3 linked regions of the Tribolium castaneum genome follow. The protein of the gene in region 2 purifies or fractionates together with the protein of the main gene of each other region. This does not show direct contact. Links are inferred from orthologs where the notes say so. Each region holds a gene or a part of one and is shown on either strand. Other genes may lie near its edges.

Evidence for each region.
Region 1: the proteins of epsilonCOP (region 2) and deltaCOP purify together in Homo sapiens (affinity purification with mass spectrometry; 4 studies listed by BioGRID and IntAct, with this or other methods). This does not show direct contact. The link is inferred for Tribolium castaneum from reciprocal best matches to the Homo sapiens genes COPE and ARCN1.
Region 3: the proteins of epsilonCOP (region 2) and beta'COP purify together in Homo sapiens (affinity purification with mass spectrometry; 4 studies listed by BioGRID and IntAct, with this or other methods). This does not show direct contact. The link is inferred for Tribolium castaneum from reciprocal best matches to the Homo sapiens genes COPE and COPB2.

Annotation. Positions count from the first base shown.
Region 1 is NC_087394.1:32,203,091-32,207,195, reverse strand, and holds the start of deltaCOP (coatomer subunit delta), read right to left. Parts: upstream 2,810-4,105; 5' UTR 2,657-2,809; coding exon 2,654-2,656; intron 2,545-2,653; coding exon 2,505-2,544; intron 2,447-2,504; coding exon 2,223-2,446; intron 2,165-2,222; coding exon 1,985-2,164; intron 600-1,984; coding exon 388-599; intron 341-387; coding exon 179-340; intron 130-178; coding exon 1-129. UniProt on the Homo sapiens protein: Component of the coatomer, a cytosolic protein complex that binds to dilysine motifs and reversibly associates with Golgi non-clathrin-coated vesicles, which further mediate biosynthetic protein transport from the ER, via the Golgi up to the trans Golgi network.
Region 2 is NC_087397.1:2,371,884-2,374,956, reverse strand, and holds epsilonCOP (coatomer subunit epsilon), read left to right. Parts: upstream 1-1,333; 5' UTR 1,334-1,392; coding exon 1,393-1,494; intron 1,495-1,540; coding exon 1,541-1,987; intron 1,988-2,047; coding exon 2,048-2,272; intron 2,273-2,329; coding exon 2,330-2,467; 3' UTR 2,468-2,556; downstream 2,557-3,073. Other genes in the region: uncharacterized protein LOC103315197, read right to left, coding at 1-1,014. UniProt on the Homo sapiens protein: The coatomer is a cytosolic protein complex that binds to dilysine motifs and reversibly associates with Golgi non-clathrin-coated vesicles, which further mediate biosynthetic protein transport from the ER, via the Golgi up to the trans Golgi network.
Region 3 is NC_087398.1:12,745,892-12,750,049, reverse strand, and holds the start of beta'COP (coatomer subunit beta'), read right to left. Parts: upstream 2,810-4,158; 5' UTR 2,653-2,809; coding exon 2,650-2,652; intron 2,598-2,649; coding exon 2,246-2,597; intron 1-2,245. Other genes in the region: histone deacetylase complex subunit SAP130, read left to right, coding at 3,390-3,618, 3,669-3,907. UniProt on the Homo sapiens protein: The coatomer is a cytosolic protein complex that binds to dilysine motifs and reversibly associates with Golgi non-clathrin-coated vesicles, which further mediate biosynthetic protein transport from the ER, via the Golgi up to the trans Golgi network.

The DNA.
Region 1 (4,105 bases), on a different chromosome or scaffold from region 2:
TGGACACGAATTCGCCCCCACTTTTCGTCCCCAATGTGCAGTGTCACCAACCCCAACAACTCGAATTGTTGCACACCGCCGTCACGGCCCATTCGAACGATTAGTTTTTCCTCCAGTCTCAAGTGAACACTGGAAATAATTCAAGTCACTTTCTACTCTATTCTGTTTATTTTCTTACTCATTAATATCGGACTTGATCGCTGGTGTTTTCATTCCCCCTTGTGAAATACTGTTATTAACTGGTGCAATGACATTTTCGCCTTCGGATTTAAGCTGGTCTACGAAAGACTCAACGTCGTGGCCTTTGCCACCCAGTTTCATTCCTCGAGTCGAAGGTTTCCTATTAAATCAATTTAAAAAAAAATTTTTTGGATGTTTTTAACATACTGAGGAGCGGAGGAATAAGCTGGTGGTTTGATATCGTTTGAAATATTGGCAACATCGCCGACTGAAGGGGCTGGAGTATAACCAGATGAGCTACCAAAGCCTCCACTGCTACCAAATGATGGTTTGACGCCCTTTTTGTTGGCTTCCATTCGCTGGCGTTGCAATTCTTTAGCTTTCTCACGCATTTTGTTTTTAGCTTCGCGTTCTTGTGTCTAAAGAGGAGTCAGTTCGTAAATCAGAAATTACATTGGTTTCGAATCTATACAAACAGCATGCCTTAATTCAATTATAGGAAAGGGCTCTAAAAGAAATATTATGCTTTCTATCAAATGTTAGATGTCTCATGTCTTCTGTTTCTATTTTATTCGCCCTAAGACCTCCGTGAGGAGGTTTAAAAGTGCAGAAATATCGGAAATGGCTTTCTATGCCCAAGCTAAACATTCTGTCTGAATAAGATGTTTTTCCTTTCGTGAAACTTTAAATCTTGAATTTATTGTAAATAAAAGCAATTTAAAAATTTAATAACGCTTGTCTTTAAGTTTTCATAGTTTTTAAACCAGTGGATAAATAAGTGGGTCGTAAAAAATTCAAAAACTACACATACAAAAAAATAAACATTTTCTTTAATCACACTGCTAGTAGTTTTTCCAAAAAGTAAATAGTTTAAGCAAAAAAAAACACGTTAGATTTCATTCTCTTTATTCACCTGGTAGGTATATCAACAAGTTATACAAACAATAGCATAGTCTCTTTATGTTGATGTGAAACGGAATATTATTATGGTATTATAAGAACTCTAGATTTTACAGCAATTCTTTTTATGTTCATTATACCATTATTAATTTTCAACATAAAATCCATCAGGGTAACAAAAAAAAATAGTGAGACAGGTATTAGCGATGAATTCGTTCACTTAAACGTTAGAACAGCTGATCAGTGATCACTTACCAAATTAACTGTTAAATTAACTTTTAACAGCAAATTAATTTTTATTTCACCTTCTACTGGGTCACTATGAAATAATGTGTCGAAAAATTTATTATATCTGATTTTATACCTCAAATAAAAATTTAAAATTGGGAGGAATTTTACTTAACATCTTAAAAAATTTATTGGCAATACTGAGTTATTTGCTTTATTACCAAAATTACTTTAAGAGCTGTGACTAACACAAAATCTTTGAAAACTTGTCATTTTGTTTATTTCTTTCAAACCGCTTTCATTTAAGACAGAATCCAAAATCTTACCGGGAAATATACTGAGTTACATGGTTAAAAATTAAAAGTCAGTATTGCCATCTGAAATTACAACTTCTTGGCTTTAATAATTTTTAACCAAAAAATTCCCTTTTTTTGTCACTGATGACAGAATCCAAAACCTTAACCAGAAATATACTTCAGTTACATTGTTTAAAATTAGAATTCAGTATTGCCAACTGGAATTACGACTTTTTGGCATTACAATTTCTAGAACTGTTGTTAATTTATTTTCTGTGAGGCAATCTAATCATGAAATAGCAAATTTGAAATAATAGCCGTGTCCGTTGTTGTACAAACTTTGATAATAAATGATTTTACCAGTTTAGCAATTTTATTACCTGTCTGACGGCCTGATAGACCCGCTCTTCGTGTGAATCCATCTCGACAAATGTGCGAATTTGGCTCAAATTGACGCTTTCCCTGTACCCAAGAGCAACAATCTCATCAAACGCAAAAATGAGGGAAAATGCGTTTTCCGCAATTTCATTTTCTTCCAATGAGCGGCAATATTCGGGAATCTAAAATAATGACAATGTGAGGATGTTTTTGTGGCTTCCATGGGTCTGGACAGCTTACCACTTTCGCAAACAACCTCAGAGTTTCTAAATCTTCCAAAATGTTGCTAGCTCTTGTGGTAATCAGGAGCATGTAAAGGCGCTCAAGTGGCTGATATACATATCGGACCGAGTCGGTCTCTACAAAGGTGTGTTGTGTTCCTGTTGGGATAAGTTTGGGGAAAGCCGCCAGGAGACCCTCAATGCGGGCTTTGGTCATCTCAACAAACTGCCGAGAGACTATGGCTGGAAAGGCAGAGAAAGGTTGCAACACATGGTTCGGTGGTTTATGTGGGGTACTTACTTTTACCGGCCTTAGTGCAGACCGCCGCTGCTATGAGCACCTGAAATCATATGTTATAACGTGAGAAAATGCGTAAAATGGCAACTTGGAAATTTTAAATTGGAATTGTGAAAGGTTGGATTTGTGTGGTGTGTGAAAGATTATCTCACCATTTTAGAGACTGTGAAAGGTCTGTTGCTGTTATGTTCCTAAAAACTAAAATAATATTTTACAAAACATTACACCCTATTAATTTTTTAAGATGACGTTGACTTGTGCTTGCTGTTGAATGAGAAAAACAGTGACGTGACCGTATTCAGTCAGCCAACCTTACGCCGATTCACTGCACCAGCTCTAGGCGCAAAATTCGAAAATGCTCCAGTTTCTACTCATAAGTTACTTAAAATCAAACTAAATAAGTCAATAACTGCTCTATTTTTATATTTTTTGTTGCTTCAGCTATTTAGTAATTTGTTCCTACTAAAATATAGCAATACAGGAATGTGAAAAAAAGCAAAAAAAAACGTAATTATTTTAGAAATAAACCAGATAATAAATTGTATCTAACTAAAAAAAAATATTTTCGGTTTTTTATTATCCACTATGGCCTAAGAATATTTCAGCAAACTAAATTGTCTTAATAGATTATAGTAAATTATGATATTGTAAAGATATGTATCTGAACAAATTGATTGAATATCAAAAAAAAATTGCGGCCTAGAATTACAAGTTATTTTTATTTCTAAGGTGGGTGGTTTGGGTTATTTGAGTATTAAGTATAGCTAGTGCAATAAAAATGATTAAATAAAATATCGTGATTAAATTGCAAGTATTTTGAAAATTTAAATTTTTTTTAATATCAAACATTCCAAAATTTTTATCTTGGCTACCAGATCACGAAAATATAGGCCAGAGTTATTTTTTATTACATTCTGATTAATAAGTAAAAAATTTTAACCATTCTTTGTCTATCATAAAGTCATAAGATAAGGCTATGAAAAAAACATAGTATTTTCCTGTATGCTACTGCAAATGTTAATTAAAGATAGAAAACAATACAAAAATGCCACAGTAAAGTGTCAAATTTCAAAAATTTAAGATTAGAATAATATTAACGTGTGTTAGTCTGACTTTTGTGCGATATATTATATTATTTTCTCATTTTTTAAAGGTAATCAATGGTAATCAAAAAAATTGTAAATGTGAGAAAAATAAACAACAATAATTTTTTATTAACACAATAATTTGTCGGATATTGTTATTCATTCGTTTACTTAATTTTTTACACTTTAGGTACGAGTATTAGCAAGAAGCTTTTAATTACTTTAAGCTGATATAATCAACAAATATAATCAGCCAGCACGATTAACTGTTATTTATTATCTACCTGTAAACCATTATTAATAGTGCGTTTGGTAAATATCTCAAACTAAATAATTACTTTACTTTATTACTCTTCTTTCGATTGGCTCTTGAATTTTCCTTCAGTTTGCACATCTTGTTGAGCAATTATTTGCTGGCATTTTTCTGACGCAAGTGTGTTTCAGTTCGATATTTTCCAATACCCCGATTAGTTTGAAAATTATCGTTTAGGTGGTTACAGTGTATTCAAAAATTTGTAC
Region 2 (3,073 bases):
ATTTTCTGCCAATTTTTCGAGTTCCTTCTTGTCGTGCTCCATATTAATGATAAGTTGTTTGTAGTTTTCTGTGAGCTCTGACAAGCGTTGAACCATATCTTTCATATCTTCCTGTAACAAAGTTGGTATTTGGAAACGTTCCTTTTCAAGGAACTCATTTAAATCATTGAACAACTGCAGCAAATCCAAGTCGGGAGTATTTTCTTTATCAAGTTCCAGTTGATTATCATTCATTATGACATCCAGGAGCTCGTTTGCTCTCTCACACATGCTTTTAATATTTTCCATTTGTGCCATTTTTCCTTGCAACTTTTCCAAATCAATTGATTCGAGATTTTTCTTTTTCTCTTCGTCTAACGCCTTGGTGACTTCGGCCATTTCCTGTCTTTTAATCCTCTCCACTTGCTCCACAATTCGCTGGGCTTCTGCAAATGCCTCTGCCGAGAATTTGTGGAAGTTGGTGGCAGTTTCTGACGTTCTTTTTTTTATAACTGACGTTGTTCTATTCAAGTTTTCTATAATTATTGCATTAACGGCTGGATTTTTACAAGGTCTGATGGGAGACAATAATTTGCCCTCTTTCATGTTCTTTTTTAAATGCTCATGCAAGACGAACGTCGACAATTTAAACATGAATTTGGCCACCTTTATGCCACCAGGTGAAACAAAAAGAGATGGCATTAGCTTAGGAATGTTCGCCGCTTTGTAATTTTCATTCAAGTAATCAACAAATGCCACCACCTCTTGTCTAAACTCTCGCTCTCCTTTGGTGTCGTATGGGGGCCAGGATTTGAGCTTTTCTCTGGTCAACTCAGGACTTAGGACATTGAAAAGGTAGTTGGTGACTTGTTGGAAGGCTGCCTTGTTATTTTTTTTAAACATATCTTCCCTGAAAACCTCATGGAAGTCTTGGGTTGGTGGATAAACATAAGTTAATTGCTTAATGTTTGCGAAAAGTTTCTCGTGGATTATGGCTTCGTAACCTTGCAAATTTATCACAGAGAATGACGCCATTCTGTGCTAAAACAATAAAATTATTCAAAAGTGAAGATTATACTTAACAAATTGTATCTTACAAAGAACAAATAAGCTTCAAAAACACGACTTTTTTAAACTAAAGACCAGTAACTTTAATTGACCACGACCAACGTCAGAAAAATAAATCACCAGACGGACGATTTTTTTATTAAAAACAGACGTTTTTTAACTGTTTTTTTATTTTAATTGACACACAAGTTGGGAGGAAGCTTAAGTTTAGTAAAAAATTTATTTTTGTGTACGTTTGTTTGACGAATTTCCGAATTATTAAGCAGCAAGGCCGCCAATATACACAGCATAAAAGCCCAGTTCGTTCCCATTTAAGGTTAAGTTTCTGTCAGTTTGACGTTCAAGATGTCGCGTCAGCAACACGACGACGAATTATTTGAAATAAAAAACTTCTACTACATTGGAAATTATCAGCAGTGCATAAATGAGGCACAAAAACTGCGCAAGGTTTTTACCACTTTTCCATAATTAGCTTGCTCAATATTTTTTCCAGCCCTCGACCCCCGAGGTGGCCATCCAACGCGACATTTTCACCTACCGCTCATACATGGCCCAGAACAAATTCCTGGTAGTGCTGGACGAAATCAAGCCGTCCTCACCCGAGGAAATCCAGCCCTTAAGACTCCTGGCTGAATATTTATCCTCCAAACAAAAACGCGAGTCTATTGTCGCCCAAATAGACCAGAAGCTGGCCTCCAACGTCGAAAGTGACACTCTTGCACTTGTGGCCGCGACAATATACGTTAATCAGAACAATCTAGAGACGGCATACCGCGTTTTGCACGCGTCTGAAAGCTTGGAGGCTTTGGCTTTTATTATTGATATTTTGCTGAAGATTGATCGCGTTGATTTGGCCAGGAAGAAGTTGAAGGAAATGCAGGAGAAGGACGACGATGCCACGTTAACGCAGTTGGCACAGGCGTGGGTCAATAACGCGAGTGTAGGTCGCAAAATTATTAATAATTAACCACTAATTTGTGTTGTTAAATATTTTTTACAGGGTGGGGAAAAGCTGCAAGACGCCTATTATATCTATCAGGAATTGGTTGAAAAATATGGGGCTACACCTTTGCTGCTTAATGGCCAAGCTGTGGCTCTTCTAGGTCAGGGGAAGTATGAGGAGGCGGAAGCTGCTCTACAGGAGGCTTTAGACAAAGATGCTAATTATCCAGACACTTTGATCAATCTTATCGTTTTACATAAACATACAGGGAAAACGCCTGAAGTAATTGATTGTCAAATTGTTTGTAACATTTTTTGTTAATTATTTTCTTTGTTTTAGATTGCAAGTAGGTATTTGTCTCAGTTGAAAGACGCTCAACCAGATCATCCATACATTAGAGACTTAAAACAGAAAGAAAGTGAATTTTCAAGGATTTGTAAACAGTATGGTCCTTCAGTTTCAACCATTCCGACGTAAAATGTGTGAAAAAGTTATTATTTGCTGTAAAAAAATTATATAACGTTTAAGTTAATTGTATTACATGAAAAATAAAGCCCATAATCAATTATAGTTTTTATTGATTTAAACCCAATGATACATCCACATTCCATAAACGTAATTCGTTTTTTCCCAAAACAATCCGAAACCGTTGATATTAAAAAAAAATGACTAAAAAAATTGAAATAAGTCAGGAGTATTAAAATATTCGGTGACAACAGTTATTGCAAAAGAAAGTTCCAAATACGGCTACAAAGTACAAAATAGAAAAAATGTGTACTTACTTTTTTGTTTTTGGCATCATTTTAAACTATAAGACAATTAATTTCCATTTTCTGCAAGCAATAACCGTCTTAAATATTCCAATGTTGAATTTATTGTTAAATGTTTGGTACACCATAAAACTCAAATTGGTGATTTTTTCAACAAATTTCTTAAAAAGTAAGCCAATAAACCACATAATTATGTCAAAAAGGACATTATTTTTGCAAGTTTTGAGAATTTTAAACCGAAAATAATCTTTTTTCCTTATTTTTATTAAACTAGAACACAACAGTCACCAAATTTGGTCGAAAATGACCAAGA
Region 3 (4,158 bases), on a different chromosome or scaffold from region 2:
TGTGCCGTTAAAAGAAAAATAATTATGTTCTTTGTATATCAAACTGAATATTCATTGTTTTCAGCAAAAAAGACATTGGCAAGTTAAAAAACAACTTTATTATAAATAATAGTACTGAAAGCACTTATTACAACAGTGAAAACCGTTCCTCTGTATCTGCTCTCTAACTCAAGTTATTTCGATTTAAGGCTGAAATTATGACGTCATAACCGCTTATCAAGCATTTGGTCCAATATTTAGATCAAATGGTTTTTGACTGTTCACCCAATAAACACGAAACATGTATTGTTAGATGATTTACATAAATCTTTTTTTTAGTCTACAATAACTACAATAATCGCTATTTTTAAAAACTTGGAATCACGTAACAATAATAATGAGACCGAAGTGATATAACAATATCACAATAATCGCCTATAACATGTAAAACATGCGGAATTATCAAAATACAACCACCTCATTCGAAATCATTATGTGCAGGCACGACAACAATTCATAAAGAAAAAATATTTGTCACAATGAATTTTTTATATATTTTGTTTTGTTGAAATTATATTTGTTTCTGTTTTTTATATAAATAATATATTTTAGTTCTACAACATGATATTGTTTAAATGTTTCTTATACCATCCTGAAAGTGAGTGAAATATACCATAGAAATTTCAATGAAATGTTTCTAGTGAATCATATCAAGAAGAAAATATTTGTTGTTTCCCAGACGTTTCATTAACAAACTATGCTCAAAGGTCAAATGTTTCATTTAACAAAACATTGATTTCAGTAATGTTTATGACCTAAAAAATGTTTACTGGGAAGTGACAATGACTAAGTTTATCAAAACATGACAAAAATTCTCAGATGTTTTCGCGAAGTTCACGCCAAAATTTAGAAGAGGAATTAGTCGTAATTGTTGGTTGATTTTCTGGAAAATGGGTGAAAAATGTTCAAATATCTGTCAGGTTTGTGGCGATTGAGAGGATTGTATGATGATAGTCTAAGATCTTTTAGAGAGTCTTTTAAAATACGGCAACTGCTTTATTAATTCAGAAAATAATTTTGAAAACTGAAAAAAAAATCTAATAAAATCTAATCTAGAACTCTAAGAAAAAAATTTCCCATCAACAATTCATTCTTTACTCCCAAGTGTCCACTACATGGCCAAAAGTATTTTATTTTCTCTTTAACACTTAGTGTTGATGAGAAATAATTTTCAAAGAGAACTAGAGGTAATCCGCAGAGAAAATCAATGTACAAAATTGAAGAAACCAGGGAAAATCATTATTAAATCAGAGAAAATCTTGAGTAAATCTGGTGTACAAAATTTGGGGTGCAGTTTATACTTCGATATTACCTAACAAATCATACAACCCAAATTGTTCTTTATAATTTAAATTTTTAATAATATTGTTGATGCAAGTGGCTATAAAAACTTATGGTCTCAACAATATCATGAGTATGTTTAATAATTTCCATACTTAGATGCTTCAAATATTGTGAAACGTAGATCAATGTAAGCAGAGCAGTCTTAAATTATTTCCCATTAGGGCGGAATCTAATAATTTAGAATGAATTTTCAAAGAACTATTATTTAAATCCAGCTAAAATACATAATAAAAATTTGGTATCTCAGAAATTTCTCATTCAAGTCAATACCTAACACTTTATGTTTCCGAAACAATTCTTGTTTGAATGAGTTTCCAGTATTCTCACACAAAATGCTTCATAATGTGGACGATTTTCTTTAATGTTTTTGGTGTTGATTTATTATTTACGTGATTGAAGCATAAGTTTGAAGATTCCATGGAATCTGTTCATATAAAAAGCAATAACCAGAGTGAAACTACAGATTAACACCAAAATTACTCTGTTCTTTACCAATTTCTCAAAGGTGAGACAGTCTTGAGACTTTTGACGAATGTTCAAAATTGCAGCGTGATTTCAGAAAATGTCGGGCCTTACAAAAGTAAAGTGCCTGTTTATATACATTTTCTATACAAATCTAACACATGACGTGAGCTTTAATAAACACCTCTTTTGAGCATACCCTTTAACAATTTTATTTCTTTACAATTAAGCGTAAAATTTGGACAAAAATGCACTTAATAAGCCTTTTTAAGGGTGAGCCTTTCACGTAAGTAATGTGGTATAAGTCCTCTCTGGAGTGTCCAATCTTTACTTGTGACCTGTCAAGGTCTCTAACGCTGCTTGAGCATATCCACTGGCTTTGGTGTTACTAAAAACTCACCGCTCCCTGTGAGGATGTAAGGCTGTGTGGGGTGGATCACAATACACCGCACATAATCCGAATGGGCCTCAAAAGCATGTACACGATCCAGTGTATTATAGTTAAAAACACGAATTTGCATGTCGTCCGAGCCGGCAATCACCCAGTTCTTGCGGGGTACGAATTTTGCGGCACGTACTGGTAAATCACAAACTTCAAAGGTTTTGACTAGTTGTTGATTTTCGTGATTCCAGACGTTTATATTGCCGCTGTATAGCGAGCAGAGCATCCAGGGCTCGGTCGGGTGCAAGTCGACGCATTTTACACGGTCGGAACGCGCCGTAAGTTTGCGTTTGATGTCCAGACGGAGGGGCTATAAAATTTAGGTTAACCAAAAGCGGGGACACCAAACGCAACCCTCTTACCATGGTAAAGGTGTAGATATCAACAATTTACTTTTCTATTGAGGGGTTTGATAGAAAACACGACTTGCCATTTAAAAAACAACCAAAATACGTGGCCCGACAACTTGGCTTGACGTTGACGTTTGGCGAGGTGGATTTGTCCAAAAACTGCGAAAACCCGTCTAACAAATTAGTTTAAATTACTACAACAAAAAAAGCAATTTGTTTTATTTAACAATGGTTTATTAACCTATAGAAATAATTATAAAATAATTAAATAATTATTTTTGACAAAATTGTGCCCTATCTCATTAGTTATAATTTAATTTATTACAATACAAAACTACTTAAACACGGGCATTTTTATTGGTACTAACGACGTCTAGCTGTGCCAAAATTCTGCATTTTAATTTACGTTAATTAACGTTATTTTAGATTTGATGTGGTGATTGTTGTCCCAAATGCGTATTTGAGGCAATGGGGCGACGTTCCTTTGACAGCGCGAGCAATGGCGTCAGTTCGGAATTTGCGTTTTGTGGTGTTGTTGTAGTCTATTATTGTAGATTTTTTAAGTGCAAACCTTAGTCTTAAGTTTAACCAAAAAACCATGTTATTTTGTTCCGAAAAATTGCCAAAAAGCTGCCAAGGTTTCATTTTTACACTTTGCAAAACCTCCTAATTACCCTCTGTTCAGTTTTAATGCAGATGCGTTTAACGTAACAAATAAAGTTTTTTATGGGTAAATTTAAAACCTGCGAAATATGAGTGACGAGGGCAAGGAGTCCCACAAGTCCTTGCCTCTGGATTTGGCCAGGACCCAAATAACCACCGTTCGGACAGTGGAAGGGAAAGCCCCCTTGTTGATGACGAATCAAGGCTTGCGTGGAGTGCGTGTCCTGACTCAGGGAACGCCACCAAACTCGGGCCAGGCTTCTTCCAACGCCCAAACAATAATCACAACTAATATTGTCCCCACCGTGTTTAAGCCAGGTTGGTGTGTCCGAAGCCATGTGATTTGTGTGACTGTGTTTGTTTTTTAGATGCTGCAAGGACTCAAATTGCGAGTATTTTGACGACGAGTCAGCCGCAATCGAGTGCTGCTAACATCACTATTCAAAGACCCACCCAAATCACCCTTTCGACAACTCCGGTGGTACCATGTGGTACTAATTACCATGTCCCACGGGGGCCCGCAGTCGTGGCGAATTTGGCGGCCCCTCGCAGCAACGTGGCGTCGGTGCGCGCCCCCATGGTGGTCACGGCGCAAACAGGCGGCCAGGTGAATAATTACTATATTTTTTATTGTGAAAACTTTTTGACGTCTTTTTACATTTTTTCGAAGTTTTTTTTAGTTTTAGAGCTATTATATCAAATGCTTCCCTACTACGGCGATTTTTTTGGCAAAAAATGAAGCTTTTTATTTATTGTTTTGAAAAACTCAAAAACCTAAAGGAATTTTGAAAAAAATGTTATTGAAAAATGATCACATTTTTAAAGCAGTTAATGATGTAGTAACCACTTTTATCGTAT